Linked DNA regions of Mus musculus. The protein of the gene in region 1 purifies or fractionates together with the protein of each later gene. This does not show direct contact. Links are inferred from orthologs where the notes say so. Each region holds a gene or a part of one and is shown in the gene's direction. Other genes may lie near its edges.

Region 1 (4,713 bases):
TAATCAATTCTTACCTCTCCTGTCAATTCCCTGAAATACTTTGTTTCTAGAAAGGCACACTGTTGTCTTACATGTGTTATGAGACTGGGTTTCTCTGTGTAGCCCTGTCTGTCCTGCAGCTTGCTTTGTAGACCAGGCTGGCCTCAAATTCGAATTCAGAGAGATCCTCCTGCCTCTGCATTCTAATTGTTTGGATGAAAGGTGTGTGCCATCAACGCCCAGCCCAAAATGCCTTATTTTTTTTCTCCTCATTTTTTTTTTGGGTGGGGGAGGGAGTGTGTTCTGTATAGCCTTGACTATCTTGTACTCTCTTGGTAGACCAGGTTTGTCTTAACTCTCAGAAATTTGACAGTCTCTGCCCCTCCCAACTGCTGGGATTAAAAGTGTGCAGCAAGAAAATTTTTCTATTTTGTTTTTTTGAGACAGGATTATTCTGTTCAGTCCTGGTTGTCCAGAAACTTGCTCTGTAGACTGGGCTGGCCTCAAACTCTGAGATCCGTTTGCCTCTGCCTCCCAAGTGCTAGGATTAAAGACGTGTGTCACCATCATTGTTAGGCACCCCCCTTTTTCTTTTTAGAAAGAGTCTCAAACAAACAAAAAGTCTTTTGTACCTCAGGCTAGACTTGAATTCACTATGTAGCTGATCTGTGTTTTTTGTTTTTTGTTTCTTTTTGGTTTTTCGAGACAGAGTTTTTCTGTGTAGCCCTGGCTGTCCTGGAACTCACTCTGTAGACCAAGCTGGCCTCGAATTCAGAAATTCGCCTGCCTCTGCCTCCCAAATGCTGGGATTAAAGGCGTGCGCCAGCACTGCCCGGCCACAGGATCTCATTTGGTAACTCAGGCTGGTCTTGAACTTGCAGTGATTGTCCAGCCTCACCCTCTCTTGCGCTGGTATTACAAGCGTGAGTCTGTTTCAGCTGTTTAAGCTTTGTGTGCTGAGCTTTGGTGAGCATATCCATCAAATGCACCACTTAAAATGACATCATCCAGGAAGGCCCGGCGACCCTTTTCTGCCCACTCTCTTGGGTACTTTGTCTGGAGTAAAGACTATTTTGAACGTGTTAAATTTGTATTTTCAAAGGGTCTATCTGGCTGTTGTGCAAAAGAAAGACAATCAGGCTTGAAGTGCAGACTTGTCGCCTAGCAACCAGACTCTCTCAGGGGCCCGGGGTTGGCTTGCTTCAGGATGGGGCCCCGCCCTTTCGGCACTCTACCCCGCCCCTCTTCTCTCACTTGCGGGAGAGTGCTGGCGGCCCCGCCCACCTTCCGGCCCCGCCCCTCACGGGAGCCTCGCGAAGCTCTGCGACCCGCAGGGGCGGGCAGATGCTTCTTATTGGTCAGTTTTCCGGAAGCTGAGTTGATTTGGTTTGGCAAGCGCAGCGTTGCTGGACGCGCGTGGCTCCCGCGCGTGGTGCGGACGGAACGAGGCCAGGGTGGCATCCGGGGACGGGGAGCCGGCGCTCCTCCAAGGCTGGCGGGAGCGGGCCTCAGTTTCCTCCGGGAGACGAGCGTAGCTTCCAGAATTGGAGCCCAGGCCCTCCCGCGCAGCTCGGCTGCAGGTTTGGCTTGTCAGAGGCTGAGAAGGGACGGAGGAGGCTCGGGTCCCCCCCACCCCATCACAGCTCGCAGGCCCCCGTGCTTGGCAGCCTCTCCGGTCTCCAGAGCCCTAGCGCAGGATGTTCGTGCTGGTGGAGATGGTGGACACCGTGCGCATACCCCCGTGGCAGTTTGAGCGGAAACTCAACGATTCCATTGCTGAGGAGCTGAACAAGAAATTGGCCAACAAGGTACTGGGCCCTCGGGCTGCCCGGCAGTGTCCCTACCGGTCCCACTGCTAGTCTGGCTATCGCCTGGTTCACCCTTGGCCTTGCACACTTAACTTCATGTCGGGGTTTTTTTCCTTCGCATCCTTATAAACCAGACTTGGGTGACAACGTGTACACAAGGGAGTAAATGGGCCGGGCGAGGTAGTGCACACCCGTAATCCGAGCTTCTTGGCTATTGAGGCTTTTTGACGATCCTGTGTTCGAGGCCAGCGTGGGCAATATAGTTAGCCCTTGACTCAGACAAATTAAAAGCACCGAAGCTGCTGGCGGTAGCGCATGCCTTTAATCCCATAACTCAGGAGGCAGAAGCAGGCGGATTTCTGTGAATTCGAGGCCAGCCTGGTCTACAGAGGGAGTGCTAGAACAGCCAAGGCTACAACGGAGAAACCCTGCCTCAAAAGAAACAAAAAGCATCAGGATGCTGAACAGTGCTTGAATTTGCTTGACATTCGCGGAGTCACTGGTTCGGTTCTCAGGATTGCCAGAAAACAAAACGGAGAGAGCGTGTGTACAAAATGGGTTTGTAAAACAGAAACTGGAATATGCCTGTTTCCTCGTTCAATTACTGTGTTGTCTTGGCCAAGTCACCCTCTCTGGGCCTCGGTTTGTGTTATCTGTGTTGCCCACAGTGTGAGAGTAGAGGTGAGAGGATAAGCGTGCGGGTCTCTAGAATTGAACTCAGCTTTCAGCTTTAGAGGGAGGCAGCTGTACCGGCTGAGCCAGCTCAGTAGCCCCTTTCTTGTATTCATTTGGTTACTGTGTTTCCCTTTCTATGACTACAGGGGCCTTCTCGGACTTTCACTCTCTCCAATGGGAGACACAGGCTCTGCCCTTGTAGCCTAGTGAGAAGAAGTTGGCTTGAGAATGTCTTGTTGTAATGAGCTGGGGTAAATGCCATGAAGGACAGGCATTCACAGAGTGGGGAACAGGGGAGTGTCACCCGGGATGAAAGAGATGGGTGACTTCTGAGGAAACAGCCATTGCTCTGAGAGCTGATGGTGGGAAGACACCAAGTAATGCCTCGGACAGGCCTTTCTGTGAACTTTTCACTTTGGGACTGTGTCCAGGCTTTTGGGCCTGTCAAGCGGGTCACTACTGGAATGGATGTAGCAAAGTAGAGAGACTCTGTTTCGATGGTTGGAGTAGGTTGGGTGTAGAGCTGTGGAGGCAGTGCATTTAGCATGTGCAAAGGTCCTGAGGCAGGAGAGGCACAGAATGCTGGTGTAGCTGGAACGGAAATGTAGACGGAAGCCAGACCACAGAGCCCTGGAGGGCCTTATAGTCCAAGCTGTTCTTTACGGGTCGGTAGGATGTGATCTTCAGAGAGCCAGAAAGAAAGAGCGAGTTTGGCTTTTACAGGAGACAGGTAGTCCCTTATAGGAGACTGAGGCCCTAGGAGAAGGTACACACACAGATCTGAGGCTTGTCACATGGAGGAGGAGAGAGCTCACTGACAATCCTTTAATTTTTTTTGAGACAATCTCACTATGTAGCCTTGGCTGGCCTGGAACTTGCTATAGTCTACGTTGCCCTTCCAATCCCAGAGAACCATCTGCCTCTGCCACCCAGGTGCTAGGATTGAAGGTGCGTGTCACACCCAGTCTTAGTTGCTGCACTAGTGCTGTGAGGAAATACCATGAGCAAGGTGACAAGAGAAAGCATTTTACTGGGGGCTTACTGTTGCGGAGGTTGTCCTTCAGCATTGTGGTGGAAGCGTGCTGGCACACGTGGTGTTGGAGTAGGATCTGAGAGCTATGTCCTCCACTGCCAAGGGAGTAACGCTCGCCTGCTGTGGGTCTGTGAAACCTTAAAGCCCACTCCCACTGACACAAGAAGGCCATACCTTCTTTCTAATCTTTCTCAAGTTGTGTCCCTCTCCGATGACTTAAGCATTCACATTTATGGGCCTGTGGAGGTCACACTTAGTCAGCCATGACATCCAGGTCTGTCTGTCTGTGTCTGTCTGTCTGTCTTGTCTTTCTTTTTTTCTTTCTTTCATTACATGGATTTATTTTGAATGTGGGTGTATATACCACAGCACACATGAATAGGCCACGGCACAGCTCATAAGGAGAAAGGGGTCCTGGGATCTACCTTGACTGCTGAACCATTTTGCCAATACCATCTCCCCACATCTCATGGGACTTGAATTCACTTTACATCCACTGTGTAACCAAAGATGGCTTTGGACTTCGGATACCCCTGCCTCCCCCTCTCAGCTGCAGGGATTACAGGCAGAGATCACCATGCCCGGGTGAGGTCAGTTCACTGGATCCTGAGAGAGAAACCTCCACAGATGACGACTGCTGGGAGCTCTGCCCCAGCTCTGAAGTGCTCTAGTCCCTGAGCAGCTCTTGTGAGGGCTGTGGCTAGGGGTAATATTGGTGGTAGACATGTAGACACTGAGCCAAGTCATTTAGAACACCAGGGTGTGTTAACACCAAGCTGTGTGGGCTTCTGGTCTGCGGAAGTGCTTTGGCCACATATCCCTGTCTGTGTGTCTGAGGCGGTGTGAGAGTGATGGAGTTCTCAACACTTCCTGGCTGTGATCTGGGGCACAGACTTTGGGACACTGGGATGTGTAACTTTTTTTAAAGAAAGATTTATTTATTTATTTATTTATTATATGTAAGTACACTGTAGCTGTCATCAGACTTTGGGACACTGGGAAGTGTAACTTTTTTTAAAGAAAGATTTATTTATTTATTTATTTATTTATTATATGTAAGTACACTGTAGCTGTCATCAGACATCCCAGAAGAGGGCATCAGATTTCATTACGGATGGTTGTGAGCCACCATGTGGTTGCTGGGAATTGAACTCAGGACCTTTGGAAGAGCAGTCAGTGCTCTTAACCGCTGAGCCATCTCTCCAGTCCCCTGGGAGG
Region 2 (4,886 bases), about 2.8 Mb from region 1:
ATGACTCACATATCAAGAGCATATATGATGCTCTTCCAGAGGTCCTGAGTTCAATTCCCAACAACCACGTGGAAGCTCACAACCATCTGTAATGGGATCTGGTGCCCTCTTCTGGCCTGCAGGCATACATGCAGGCCGAACACTATCCATAATAAATAAACAAACAAATCTTAAAAAATAAAAGGTCGTGTGTGTGTGTGTGTGTGTGTGTGTGTGTGCGCGCGCGCGTGCGTGAGTGTGTAGCTATGCGTGTATGGCTGCCTGTGGAGGGCAGGGAAAGGCACTGACTCATAGGAAGCTAGAGTTACACATTGCTTTGACCCACCTGATATGGTTGTGGGGGATTGAACTTGGGTCCTTGAGAATAGCCAGTGCTCTTAATCTCTGAGCCATCTTTCCAGTCCTTATTTTATTTCAAGGATAGGTTCTTACTATATTATCTAGGCTAGCTTTTCTTGGGCTCAGGCAATCCTCCCATTACATATGCCTAAGACACACACACTTTTTTGGTGACTGGCTAACATGGGTGCTGGGGAATGAGCTTTCAAAGGGCAGTACATGTTCCTAACCACTGAGCCAGCTCTCCAACTGTAACACACACAGACTTTTTTGTGTATGGTGTGCTGGGGCTGAAACCCAGACTCCACATCTGCCTAGAATATACTCTGTCACTGAGCAACACCTTCAGCTCTATAATTTTCTCCTGTTCATTTTTCTTGTTACCCTCCTGTGTTATCAGTTTTCTGAGAGCAAGAGTTGTCCTTTGCAATCCTCTCAACACTCTATTCCTAGTACCTAGGACAATATCCAAATCACACATTAGGTTTTTGTCGTTGAATAATTAAGTGCATACATGCTCATTCATGTAGCAGAGGCTGGAGCTACAGTTGTGAGCAGAAACAGGCACGTTTCTTTGCCTGGTGGTGTTCACCATTTAGAAGGTGACACTAAACACCTCTAAGACTGTATAATGTCTAAGCCTGGTGAAGGGAATTGAATTTGGTACTGTGAAGGTCCCACTGCAGTGAGGAGATAGGCTTCATTGAAAGTGCATGTAAAAGATGAACTAACCATTCCAAAATTCTCCATCTCTGGTCTTTGATTCTTCCCCGAACCTTTCAGAATCCCAAGCTCTTAAGGAAAAACCGCACCGCTCGGGTCGTTGATCCCCTAATGCACTGACCTCTGAGCAGCTCACAAGTCCCCGGCGTGTAACCTGCTTGCTTACGGCAGCGGCGGAACCCGGTTCCTTTGGTCACCGAGTCCACCCTTTCCTGGGAAGCCATGGGAGGGCCCTAGGAGGGAGAGAAGCAATGACTCGCCCTAGTTACGCTTCGCAATCCGGACCTCTCATCACGAGCAACCTGGGAGTCTGAGAAGCTGGTGCCCGACCCCTCGGCTCCGGACAGCGCAGTGACCACAGTCCCTATCGTGACGGTCCGGGGAGGAGCGCTCACCTTAGGCGATGACCTGGGCGTGACAGAGCCCTCCGCACGGAGAAACTCCAAGGAGCTAGAGTGTCAGCGTCCTCACTAATCGCTCCTTGTTACCATGGTAACTAGCGACACGCCTCCACGCACGCGCATTAGCGTCTGGTCGGCCGCTGCTTCCCGGAAGTAACTGCGCCTGGGTCACGGCGCAAGCGCAAACTACGCGTGGTGCGGCGAGGGGCAAAGGCGCGCGTTCTCTGCTCTGCGCCCCGGGCGGAGAAGGCATCATGTCAGACAACGAGGACAAGTGAGCACGGGCCACGGAAGGAGGGAGGTCGTGGTGCGAGCAGGGCTCTTGGAGCACAGGCTAGCCCAGCTGCTGGGTTGGTGGGGCGAAGTCTTCAGAACTTCCTACCTCGCGGAGCAATGGGGACAGTGGTCAGAGAGTTCAGTCCGTGTGGCCCCTGTCCTCTGAGCGCTCTCTTTCTGGAAGGGAATGCCAGAGGTGTGTAGCTTGTGTAGTCGTGGAAGTAGGAAGGAAAAAGCAACCCAGAGAATGGCCTGGAAGGCTGGGAGCAGACGCGGGCTTGGGCTAGGTGTGATAGTAGCAGAGGTGGCAGAAGTGGGGATAGACTCTAGAGAGCATGAAGTTTAGTGTTGTTTGAGGCAAGGCCTCACTCTGAAACCCAGGCTGCCCGGGAATTCACTATATAGCTAAGGCTGGCTTTGAATTCGACACAGTCCTCTGCTTCAGCTTCCCAAGTGTTGATATATCTGGCATGAACCACCAGACCCAGCTGGATTATGGACATTTTTTTTTTTTTTTTCCGAGACAGGGTTTCTCTGTATAGCCCAGGCTGTCCTGGAACTCACTTTTGTAGATCAGGCTGAACTCAGGAATTCACCCACCTCTGCCTCCCCAAGTGCTGGGATTAAAGGCGTGCGCCACCACCACCCGGCTGGACATATTTTTATTTTATTTATTTGGAGACCAAATATAACCTTATATCAGGTGGTTCGAACATAGAGATTCATCTACCTCTGCTTTCCAGGTGATTTTTGTTCTTTTTTTTTTTTTTTTTTCCTGAGACAGAGTCTTTCAACATAGTCCTAGCTGTGTCTGGAAGTCACTGTGTAGATTTGGCTGTCCTCAAACTTACAGAGATCTGCCTGCTTTCACCTCCTGAGCACTGGATTACAGGCGTGCGCCACCATGCCTGGATCCTGATATATTTTAAAGATAGAACCTAAAGGATTTCTTGATACGCTGTATATGTTAATCAAGAGAGAAGATGAACTATGGTAGTCCTGATAGATCAGTCAGAATTCAGAGTCTGGGCGTGGTGGTTCACACCTGTAATCCTAGCACTTGGGAGGCTACTGCAGGGGAATTGTCCTGAACTAGATGTCAACATAGTGAGTCTCAGGCCAGCCTGAGTTACATACTGTGCAGTAAGATTGACTTCAAAACAAGCATACAAAATACAGTCAAAAATGCAATGAAAGCAGAGATGACGGCGTTGACCAGGGCAGTGATTGCCACCAGAGAAGAGATGGTGAGTGAGTGACTTGGGGGGAAGAGAACCCAGAAAAGCATCCCCTCCCCCAGAGTGGGAGGCAGGAGGGAGGAGCCAGGTATGCTGGCTGTCCAGGGGAAGGGTTCAGCATTGTAAAGATCCTTAGTGAAGCTGGGGGTGGTGCAAGCCTTTGATTCCAGCACTCAGGGCAGAGACTTGGGGGGGGGGGGGGGAATCTCTCAGTTCCAGGCCAGCCTTGTCTGCAGAGTGAGTTCCAGGCCAGCCTTGTCTGCAGAGTGAGTTCCAGGACAGCCAGGCAGCACAAAGAGACACTTTTCTTTTTTTTTTTTTTTTTTTTTTTAAAGATTTATTTATTTATTACATGTAAGTACACTGTAGCTGTCTTCAGACACACCAGAAGAGGGCGTCAGATTTCGTTACAGATGGTTGTGAGCCACCATGTGGTTGCTGGGATTTGAACTCTGGACCTTTGGAAGAACAGTCGGGTGCTCTTACCCACTGAGCCATCTCACCAGCCCCTTTTTTTTTTAAAGATTTATTTATTTACTATATGTAAGTACACTGTAGTTGTCTTCAGATACACCAGAAGAGGGCACCAGATCTCATTACGGGTGGTTGTGAGCCACCATGTGGTTGCTGGGATTTGAACTTCAGACCTTCGGAAGAGCAGTCGGGTGCCCTTACCCACTGAGCCATCTCACCAGCCCAAAGAGACACTTTTCAATGGGGAGGTTGTGGGGTGCGATGATCAGTGAGCACAGGAAGGATGGCTGTGGAGCTTGAGGGTGTGGCGAAAGCCTTACTGAGGTGAGGCTCTGACTCGGGAAGTGAAGAATTGGAGACAGCGAGTTTGGGCAGCTCCCTCAGACATTGTGCACCACGGGAGGCTGATGAGATGGAGGAGGGGCTAAAGGTGAAAGTTTTGCTGCCCGAGCCTAACAACCTAGGTTTGATCCCTAGAGCCCCTGGTAGAAGGAGAGAACAGAAAAGGGAGTCTTGGTGGTGTATGTGGGCCTGTACGCGAGCACGCATCATGTGCACGTTAGCAATAAATAAGCATGTTTTTAGAAGCCTGGTGACCTTAGGCTATGAAAATGGCAATGTCACCTTGGTCTTATGTAGTTTTGTTTGTTTGTTTGTTTGTTTGTTTTCTCCACCATAAGGGAATATGGAATTAAGCTGTAGCAGGAGGGGAAAGAATAATGGTGTGTTGTTTGTTTGTTTTTAAGAGGGGGAGGTGATGCTGGTAGTGTGCTGGTGCTGTGAGTGCCAGCGGCTTCATGCATGCTGTCTACACACCCTACTTTTGAGTTACAGCTCCAGCCCTGAAGTACACTTCACTTGTTTTTGTTCTTGAGACAAAATCTCACTATGTAGCCCAGGCTGGGCTCAAACTCCTAGTTCTCTCACTTCCCATTTCCAAATGCTAGGAGTACAGGAGTGTGCTACCACCCTGGCACGTTTATATTTCTCTCCTTATGTCCTTATGAGAGGCTGAAACTGTCTTCATGACGAGGGGGATGGCGCAGAGGTTAACCACACTTGGCTGGTTTCCCAGGGAGTAAAACCAGGCAGACAACTCCGGCTTCGGGGGCTCCCACACCCTCTTCTGGCTTCCAGGCGCACTTGTATGTGTGTACATTTACATACACAAACACACAGATAAAATAAACCTTAAACACACAGTCCCCGGACCAGAACAGTCCATGTGTACATGTAACTGGCGTGGTTCACAGAGAAGGAAACCACAGTGAAGGTGTCCTAGCAAACTGTGGGGACACATGGCACATGATTGGAGGCACAGAGTGACCCTCCAGAGTTTGGTTCCCTTGTTGAGATTTGCCGGCCCCTTGTCCGACACTGCTGAGACATGGGCTGTATCTCTGGTTCTGGCCGGTGATGCTCTAACCACCAGTTT
Region 3 (4,663 bases), on another chromosome or scaffold:
TGTGCCGAGAGATGTGCATACATACATCATCTCCAACCCTCACAACTCAATGAGGGGGGAACTATTGTCTTCCTGCAACAAATGATAATGAGGTTAAGCAAGTTCCCCCAAAGCGCTACAGCTATGTTTTTATACTATTCCAAAAACGGAGTATGTGTCATCCACATGCAACTTCCCAGTCTAGAGGCCATTTTCTCTGACCTCTGTCATATTCTTGTTGACTGACTCCTAGTTTTACATCCATCCTGAAGTATTTCCCTTTACTTCTACTCTGTAAAAAAAATGACTCTTTCTATTCTGCCCTCTTTCCTTGAAGGGGCTTGAAGGGCAGTGGAAAGTACAGAAAGAAAAAACCCACTGGGTTCCTGCCTTCTCTCCCCAATTACTGCTCTGGTCCCAAGCCCCCTTCTCTCCCTCACTTCTCAGACACCGCAACAATCCGCATTTGGGGCCTGAGCTTGGTAGCAGAGTCAAGAGTATCAAGAGTTCAAGGCCAGCCTAGACTGGGTAGCCAGACCCTGCCTTTAGAGAAAAAAAATCTTTTAAAGATTATTTATTAGTAGTGCTGGTGACTGAGGAAGAATAATAAAGAGGGTGTGTGTGGTATGTGTGTGTGTGTGTGTGTGGTGTGTGTGGTGTGTATGTGATGGCCTAAGCCAGAAGAGGGCGCGGGAGTCCGGTAGTTGGGAACCTCCTGGAGTGTTTCTCTGTGTGTGTGTGTGTGTGTGTGTGATGTGTGGTGTGTGTGTGTGTGTGTGTGTGTGTGTGTGTGTGTGTGTGATGTGTGGTGTGTGTGTGTGTGTGTGTGTGTGTGTGTGTGTGTGTGTGATGTGTGGTGTGTGTGTGTGTGATGTGTGGTGTGTGTGTGGTGTGTGTGTGGTGTGTGTGTGTGTGTGTGTGTGTGTGTGGTGTGTGTGTGTGTGTGGTGTGTGTGTGTGTGTGTGTGTGTGTGTGTGTGTGTGTGGTGTGTGTGTGTGTGTGTGTGTGTGTGGTGTGTGTGTGGTGTGTGTGTGTGTGTGTGTGTGTGTGTGTGTGTGTGTGTGTGTGTGTGATGGCCTAAGCCAGAAGAGGGCGCTGGAGTCCGGTAGTTGGGAACCTCCTGGAGTGTTTCTGGGAACTCCTGCAGGCACAGCTGTTAACAGATGAGCAGTCTGGTTTCTCTGACCCAGGGCTACATTTCCCAGCAGCGGTTCTCCTCTTCTGGCTCCGCCACGTGTCTGGATGAGCTCTGAGTAGCAGGACATCTTAGCCATCTAGTTCGGTCTGGGCATAAGAGGTGAATTCTGCAGCCCCAGGTCTCAGCGCGCCACTTCCCAAGCCTCAGTTCCGGTTAAGCTCGCTCCCTCCTCCTCCCCTCCTCGCCCGCCTCCGCTCTCGTCGATTGGCCAGGAAAACCCACCAATGGAGAGCTCGGGGAGGCGGGCCTAGAACGAGGGCTGGAAGAAGAAAAGCAAATTTCAAGTTGGCGGCTGCGTGGGCCCTGAGTGGGGGAGGGACGGCAGGTAAGGCTTCGACCTGGTGGCTCTGACCCGGTTTGGTTCGGTACTTCCCGAATTAGTCCCTCGGCGCCGACAGCGACGTAGATAACGCTTTCTGTCAGCCTGTTGGATCAGCCCCCTTCTAAATCCCTCCCCTTTTTCCCCGGGCTCTCACTGCTGTCTTGACTGTACGCCGGAGACAGCTTGCTGTCGCGCCTGGGGACAGATATTAAAGCAGGAGAGGAAGGTTCATTCTTGTAGCTCAGACTCTTCTATGGTACCAGCTTCTCCCGCACCCATTAACGTAACATTAGCCCCCTGTCAAGAGCCTGACAGATTCTTATTACCTATCAAGTCAACTGAACCGCTACCCTCTACCCACCACTTTCCTAGACCACCGTGAAGAATTTATTGATCCCCGACCTGACAAAGTCCGATTATCACTATTGGAATCTCTTTAATTTTTAAAATTACATTATTTGTGTGTGTGTGGGGGGGGTACGTACAAGCCATGGCTTACGCAAGGAGGTCAGAGGACAACTTGAGCTAGTCAGCCTGTTTCCTGGCCACTTGGCAACACGAGTATTTACCATCTCACGAGGCTGACTTTTTCCATCCCTCCCATGCTTTTATCGGCAGACTCTTGCTATGTAGCCCATACTGGCCTCCAGTTTGCATTCCCCCTGCCACAGTACCCCCGGTGTTAGGATTATATGTTCTCTTTCACTGTTTCTATTCTATGAACGGAAGGTTTGATGGGACAGATTGGGGTACTTAATACATTGTGTTCAGTAAGCGTTAATCGAGTGGAATTGATTTGTGGGAACCAGTGCTCTTGTCAAGGAGGACAAATTTAAACTCCTGATATAATTAGGGAACAATAAAAGACAACATTATATAATTAGGGGTCTTTGAACTGGTGGTTTATTGCATTAATGTTTTATAGTTATTCTCAGACCAGAGAAGGAAAACAACAAAAAGAACCAGAAGGGAGTCTTTGTGACTCACAGAGTCTGTAGACACATGTTCAAAAGACAGATATTTACTGAGAACCTACTACATAGCAGACACAGTGCTAGACAACCGGGATCACAATGAACCCTCTGATAACATCTATTCAATAAATTGTTATTTAGTATGTGGGAAAATATTTTCGAAACCAGTTCTTTCTATGCAGGGCAAACAGGCTGACCTCCAACTTATGACCCTCCTGCCTCACCCTTTCTGGGATAACAGGCTTGTACCACTGCACCCCAAATAAGCTTTTTTCTTTTAAATTGAGAAATGTGAGTCCGGTCTTACAAATGCTAAGCATTCATTCTGCCCCTGAACTACACCCCTAGCTCTGAAACAGCATCTTTAGGAAGAGAACTCACTAGCTCTTTTCAGGTCGGTCCACTCTTTCACTTTTTCCTTTGAATTTATTCAACTTAAACTTACTTATTATTAGTGGGCCTGGGTGGAGTGTGTACCATGGTGCATATGTGGAGGTCAGGCTGGCCCCAAACTCACCATGGAACCAAAGATGAATTGAAATTTCTGAATGACAGGCTTGGCCCAAGGCTTTCTGCTAAGCGAGTGTGTTGTTGCTGTTGTTGTTGTTGTGAGGGTTTGCTTATTTTCTTTAACTGGGGATTGAATTGAGGCCCTAGTGATTTGCTAAGTAGGGTTCCACCACTGAGCTATAGCACCCACTCGTCCTCTGAATTCTTGTGTGTGGGTGGGCGTTTGGTCTGCATGTGAGTCTTTGTACCACTTGTGTGCTTGAAACCCTCAGAAGGCAGAAAAGGGTGTTGGGTTCCCTGGGACGGGTTACAGACAGCTGTGAGTCCCTGTGTGGGTCCCGGGGAATCGAATCCCAAGTCCTCTGGGAGAGCAGCCAGTGCTCTGAGCCACTGAACCATTCTCCAGATTTCCCCTGCATTCTTGAAAACGAAGCATCCTTTTTACTTGTTGATTGTAGGATATACATTTATTCCACACAACTTTCAAACACATAGTAATATAAGAGTGTGCATTATTTCATAGCCCTAAGGTAATAATGATGGTAATTAGTATTTTACAACTTTAAACTTTATTGTTATTTTATGTACTTGCACACTGGTGCCACCGCATGCATGTCAGCGTCAGAGGACAGCTTTGTAAGGTTATGTCTCCCTTGCACCTTAGTTGGTTCCAGGGATGGGACTCAGGTTCTTGGACTGGCACTGACTTTATCTGCTGAGCCATCTTGCCTGCCCCTGATACTAGTATTTAGACATATGTACTCTCAGTTTATTCTGTATATATGCAAAACTTTTTGTTTTATAAGTAAATAGAGCCACACTATAAATTCAATTTTGTATCAAGAATGAAAACATTAAAAAAACAACAACAACAGATAAATATGACTTTATATTGTAGTCTCCTTCACCCCTAAACACTCCATATTATTAACCTCCTCCCTTGAAAATGGCTTGTTTGGGGGTTTTTGTTATTTGTTCTGGATGTTGTTGTTGTTGTTGGGTTTTGCTTTTTTGTTTTGTTTTTTAAAGATGCACTTATTATATTTATGTGAGCTCACTGTAGCTGTTTTTCAGACACCCGAAGAGGGCATCAGATCCCATTACAGATGGTTGTGAGCCACCATGTGGTTGCTGGGAGTTGAACTCAGGACCTCTGGAAGAGCAGTCAGTGCTCTTAACCACTGAGGCATCTCTCCACCTTTGTTTTGGTTTGGTTTTTGGTTTTTCTAGACAGTCTGTTTCTCTGTGTAGCCTTGGCTGTCCTGGAACTCACTCTGTAGACCAGGCTGGCCTCAAACTCTAGATTTCTGCCTGCTTCTGCCTCCTGAGTGCTGGGATTAAAACCAGGCTGTTTTTGGTTTGTGGTTTTTATCATCTATTATTAGACCACTTATATCATTTCAGAATTTGTTGTTTGAAACAAGGTTTCACTATGTAGTAGCCCAGGCTGACCTGGAACTCCATAGATACCTCAGACTGACCACTTTCTGCCTTAGCCTTCTTTTTCTTCTTTTTTTTTAAAGATTTATTTATTTATTATATGTAAGTACACTGTAGCTGTCTTCAGACACTCCAGAAGAGGGCGTCAGATCTTGTTACAGATGGTTGTGAGCCACCACATGGTTCAAATGGTCCCATGGTCCCATGTGGTGGCTGGGATTTGAACTCCTGACCTTTGGA
Region 4 (4,721 bases), on another chromosome or scaffold:
CAAACAAAAAACAGAAAGACACCATGTATTCAAGATACTGTGATTATAAAATAAATTATGACATAGCCACTCGTTTTAAGAAATGTCGCCACCGAACAAGAAAAAGGCTTATTATAATTGGGGGCGCTGGCACTGGCTAGCATGCTGCAGAAACCTTTTCTTAAAGCATAGCCCTACCTCTCTATTGGCTGACAGCCTGGCAGAGCCAATTTTATATCAGAGAAAGCAGTCCCAACATTCTGTTCTTTTTTTGTTTTCCTGGGCAGAAAAAAAAAAAAAATGGAGGGGGTGGGCTAGGAAAGTGGAGCTAAAGACACTGGCAACGTGATATCCAAAATAAGTTGAGACAGTACGTCCTACCTTCTTCCCAAAGCCATTTCCTTCGATAGCAACAGGGAGCGCAGTCTGCAAGTCATTGGTACACTGCTATTTTCACTTTCACAAGAACCCAAAAACCACTGAAGAACAAAATCTCCCTCTTCCCTGTTACCTTCCAAACCTCCTCTTTCTGTACTTCAACAAAACCTACTAAGAAGTCCTCAGCAATATGCTATTTCGGCTCACTGAGGATGCAGAAGGGGGGAGGATCTGGTTGAGAAGTGGGAAGAAAAATAAAGAGTAGGTGAGCCGCAAAAACGGAAAGAGTACAGGGGATAGGTCATCGCGAAAAGACAAGGAAGGGGACTGAGAGCAAATTGGACGCAGATTTGCCCGAGAATTCACCGAGGAGACAAAAAAAGATGGGGGTGGTATTAAAGAGCGGAAGCGAAATGAGGGGCTGATTGGAGACGCCGCGGAAATGAGGGATAGGCAGGACCCTGGCCCTGATGCCCAGGGTTTGCGACCAGTGCCCGGAGACAGCGGGCAGCAGGTACCGAGAACACCGGTGTCAAGGGAATCACGGGTGTGCGGGCAGCCTAAGACCCGGTTTCCAGCCCTAGGAGCCAAGGACCTACGCGGCGCCGGAGCGCGGGACACACGGGGCTCTTACCGGTAGTTTGGGATTGACCTCGCCCTTACAAAAGTGGCAGAAGAAACGGTGTGCGGCGACAGCGGAGCCCGCGTCCGCCCCCGCCGCCGAGGCCTCCGCCATGTTTCGCCTCCGCCGAGGATGTCCGAAAGGGCGGCCGGCGGTCCCTCCCCAGGCCGCTACCTCCCGTGCTGCGGTCGCCACCGCCGTCGCCGCCTCCTCTGGGCGGCCCGCCGCTCCGAGGCCCGCAAGGGTCACGTGAGTCCGCCCGGCCCCGAGAGGCCCGCCCGCCAGCGGCCACGCGACCCGAGGCCCGCCTCCCGGCACCAAAGGCAGAGGAGAGCCCGCCCGCCGGCACCTCAGACAGCCCCTGGCCGGTCCTCCAGCCTCCCAACGAGAGGAGAGAAAGAGCGTCCCCGGAAACCACCGACACTGTCGGCTAGAGCGGCCCGTGCTCTGACCCTTCCGCGTCCGCCTGGATGGTGCTCTACTTCTAAGAAGGGGCGATGGGAAGCTCATGAGCTGAGGCTGCTGGCCTCGGGAGGACAACATTTGGAGCTTCTAAATTAGCCCCGACCCTGAGGTTAGTGAAAACGCTGCCGGAATGAGGAGGCCCTGACTCAGGGCCAAGAAACAAAGTCCGGAACAGAAACTTGCATGAAGGGAGAGGAGCCAGGAAATGCATTCAAGGATGGCAACTGGTCTAAGGATGTTTCTCCAAAGACGTGTGTGTGGCTAAGTGAAATAGTCTTCTCTGCGACACTGTGGCAAGAGGGACAAAAATTTAGGTTCGAGAGAGTTGGAGCTTGTGATAGGGAGGTAATTTCAAAATCAACTACACCCATTCCTGCTTGTGTCTCATGATGTAAAAATTTAATATGGTTCTCAATGGAACATAACTTCATCTCCTAATTGAAATACCCTAAGAAGCTCTTTTTTTACTTTATCTATCTAAGTCGTGGTTTATGGCTTGGGAATAAGTTGTACCCCACTGGGTCATGAGCCTTAGGTCTTTGTATCTGTGACAGAAAGTTATTCGCACTTTCCCTCCCCCTTTGCTTTTAAAGGTCTCACTCTGGACCAGATTTGCTTGGTATTTATTATGTAGCCCAGGCTGGCCTTCAGTTTATGACAGTCTTCTAGCTTTAGTGCTGGAAATACAGATGTTAGCCACCATACCGAGATGAATCCAGTCTTTAAAGATTATTGGAACCACAAACCACATATATTCCCATTAAAATAAATGGCATATATAGGGGAGGATGGCTTGCCTTTTTTTTTTTTTTTTTTTTAATTTTAATAGGATCTCATGTAGCCAACCTGGTTTTGAACTCAATATGTAACCATGAGCTCCTGACCCTCATACTTCCACCTCCTAAGTGCTGAAATTGTAGGCTTGCACCACCATACCTGGCTTTAGAAAACAAATTTGATGTCTAGTTTTCTAGTTCTTTGTTTTGGTGGGTGGTGGGTGTATTACCCACCAGAGTCTTGCTGTATAACACAGGCTGGCTTTGAACTCACTTTGTGCCCAGGTTGACCTGGAACTATTGATTCTTTGACTTTGGTCTCCTGTGTGCAAGAATTACAGGCAGTGTACACCATCATATCTGACCATTGCAATTACTAAATGACAACACATTAGGAATATTTTATGGTAGTTATATTGTATGAAGTCATTTTAAATGTTGGCATAGTATACTCTCTTAAGGTTATACTATAATTTATTGATAGATGCTAGATTATTTATGTCAATGCCAGTATTGTGAAGAGAACTCATGGCATGGTTTTTACTACATCCTTGGAACAAAGGATCTCAACTTATAAATATTAAGGCAAATATATGCCTTAATATATAGAGGGTTTGATTTATATTGTCAAGTTGCCCTCTAGAAAAAAAATATGTGAATTTATATTGTTGTTCTTTCCTAGTTCTGAGGCTCTAAGAACGATGACTCAAGCAGAGATTAAACTGTGTTCTTTGTTGCTGCAAGAGCATTTTGGTGAGATTGTAGAAAAAATTGGAGTCCACCTAGTCAGAACTGGAAGCCAGCCACTTAGAGTAATTGCCCACGACACAAAAGCATCCCTGGACCAGGTATGTTTAGATAAGAGAGTCTGTTCCTCTTCAACTTCTTCAATCATTTCCTTCAAGTACCTTTGGACAGGAGAACTCCTTCCCCTAGAAAGTATGAACAGAGACCGTCTGCCCTGTGGTCAGTACCACAGTGGGTGGGGTGGGGTGTGGTATTGTACTTAGGCCCCGTGTACTGCCGCTTGTGGTGTTCCTAGCTCATCTTGGCTGTTCCCATGCCACACTCATTTATTCACAGTAAGTCTACTGGTGGGGTATGGCCTTTAAGGAATACAGTGATAGAACAAAGTAAGCTGGGCTGCCCATCCTGGCCCAGAATGTAGCTCAGTTGGTAGAGTGACTACATTGTAGTGACAGTTTGAGGATTTTGGTTTCTTTAAAAATACAAAAATAGAGCCGGGCGTGGTGGCGCACGCCTTTAATCCCAGCACTCGGGAGGCAGAGGCAGGTGGATTTCCGAGTTCGAGGCCAGCCTGGTCTACAGAGTGAGTTCCAGGACAGCCAGGGCTGCACAGAGAAACCCTGTCTCAAAAAAACAAACAAACAAAAAATACAAAAATATTATAAGAATATTTTTTCATTTTAATCCCAAGTATGCAGATATGGGGCTGCTTCAGACTGTCTATGATTTGCCTCATGTTCTAGCAGAGGCATGGTTCTGCCAGCTATAGATAGTTCCTGTGATTGTGCAGTGTCTGGGATTCTGGGAACTTTTCAGAGTGTGTATAAATGCCAGCCCCAATATGTGGAGTCGGGGGGTTGGTGGTCATTTAGGGAAGTTGTGATTTACTAGTAGTGTTGGTCAAAGAAGAAACGAAAGAAATTAAATTCAGGGATTTTCCTAATTCCTCCTTGTTTCTCTCTTATGAAGTGTTAGAGGGTGAAACCCGGGTGGGGATGGGAGTGGGAAGGGAGTATCAAGGGTGGGAAAAAGAAGAACCCACAAAGTAGCAAAGACCATTCACACTGCATAGCAGCTAAAATGTCCTGCTTTGATCTCCAACACTGTATAGAACTGGGTGTGTTTATGTTTATGATCCCACGACTTGAAAGGAGGGGCTGGGAAGTTCAAGGTCACCCTCAGATACACAACAAGTGTAAGGCTTCCCTGGGCTCCAGGAGAACCACATTCAAAACAGAAAACTAGAAGAAAGATAAAGATCAGACAAAATAAGCCGGGCGTGGTGGCACACAGGCCTTTAATCCCAGCACTTGGGAGGTAGAAGCAGGCGGATTTCTGAGTTCGAGGCCAGCTTGGTCTACAGAGTGAGTTCCAGGACAGCCAGGGCTACACAGAGAAACCCTGTCTCGAAAAACCAAAAAAAAAAAAAAAAAAAAAAAAATCAGACATAATAGGAACATCACAGCAAAGAATTCTCTTGATTTCCTGCACTGACATTGGCTACACTAACCCACAGAGGAAGTAAGATTCTATATGCAGTCAAGTCAAATTCAGTCCCTGCCCTGTCATGGTGGGAACTGGCCTAGATGGCTGCCACAACAAGTTCTGCTGCTCATGGGCCCCGGGTCTCCTGTCCTGGAACCTGGGGATAAGTTTGGCTGCAGACACTATACTCTAAACATAGGGGTTCTCAGGACAGACAAAAGGCAAGTCCTGTTTCAACTCAGGCCCAGTTGCTTTAAAAAATAAAACTA

The links.
Region 2: the proteins of Polr3h (region 1) and Polr2f purify together in Homo sapiens (affinity purification with mass spectrometry; 4 studies listed by BioGRID and IntAct, with this or other methods). This does not show direct contact. The link is inferred for Mus musculus from reciprocal best matches to the Homo sapiens genes POLR3H and POLR2F.
Region 3: the proteins of Polr3h (region 1) and Polr3gl purify together in Homo sapiens (co-immunoprecipitation; 4 studies listed by BioGRID and IntAct, counting the BioPlex papers as one, with this or other methods). This does not show direct contact. The link is inferred for Mus musculus from reciprocal best matches to the Homo sapiens genes POLR3H and POLR3GL.
Region 4: the proteins of Polr3h (region 1) and Polr3c purify together in Homo sapiens (affinity purification with mass spectrometry; 5 studies listed by BioGRID and IntAct, with this or other methods). This does not show direct contact. The link is inferred for Mus musculus from reciprocal best matches to the Homo sapiens genes POLR3H and POLR3C.

Annotation. Positions count from the first base shown.
Region 1 is NC_000081.6:81,922,860-81,927,572, reverse strand, and holds the start of Polr3h (DNA-directed RNA polymerase III subunit RPC8), read left to right. Parts: upstream 1-1,359; 5' UTR 1,360-1,676; coding exon 1,677-1,787; intron 1,788-4,713.
Region 2 is NC_000081.6:79,139,698-79,144,583, forward strand, and holds the start of Polr2f (DNA-directed RNA polymerases I, II, and III subunit RPABC2), read left to right. Parts: upstream 1-1,627; 5' UTR 1,628-1,717; coding exon 1,718-1,737; intron 1,738-4,886. Other genes in the region: 1700088E04Rik (UPF0193 protein EVG1 homolog), read right to left, coding at 1,184-1,286. UniProt on the Homo sapiens protein: DNA-dependent RNA polymerase catalyzes the transcription of DNA into RNA using the four ribonucleoside triphosphates as substrates.
Region 3 is NC_000069.6:96,590,923-96,595,585, reverse strand, and holds the start of Polr3gl (DNA-directed RNA polymerase III subunit RPC7-like), read left to right. Parts: upstream 1-1,404; 5' UTR 1,405-1,502; intron 1,503-4,663. UniProt on the Homo sapiens protein: DNA-dependent RNA polymerase catalyzes the transcription of DNA into RNA using the four ribonucleoside triphosphates as substrates. Specific peripheric component of RNA polymerase III which synthesizes small RNAs, such as 5S rRNA and tRNAs.
Region 4 is NC_000069.6:96,724,181-96,728,901, reverse strand, and holds the start of Polr3c (DNA-directed RNA polymerase III subunit RPC3), read left to right. Parts: upstream 1-1,462; 5' UTR 1,463-1,553; exon of another isoform or gene 1,554-1,789; intron 1,790-2,902; 5' UTR 2,903-2,921; coding exon 2,922-3,068; intron 3,069-4,501; exon of another isoform or gene 4,502-4,637; intron 4,638-4,721. Other genes in the region: E3 ubiquitin-protein ligase RNF115, read right to left, coding at 992-1,093. UniProt on the Homo sapiens protein: DNA-dependent RNA polymerase catalyzes the transcription of DNA into RNA using the four ribonucleoside triphosphates as substrates.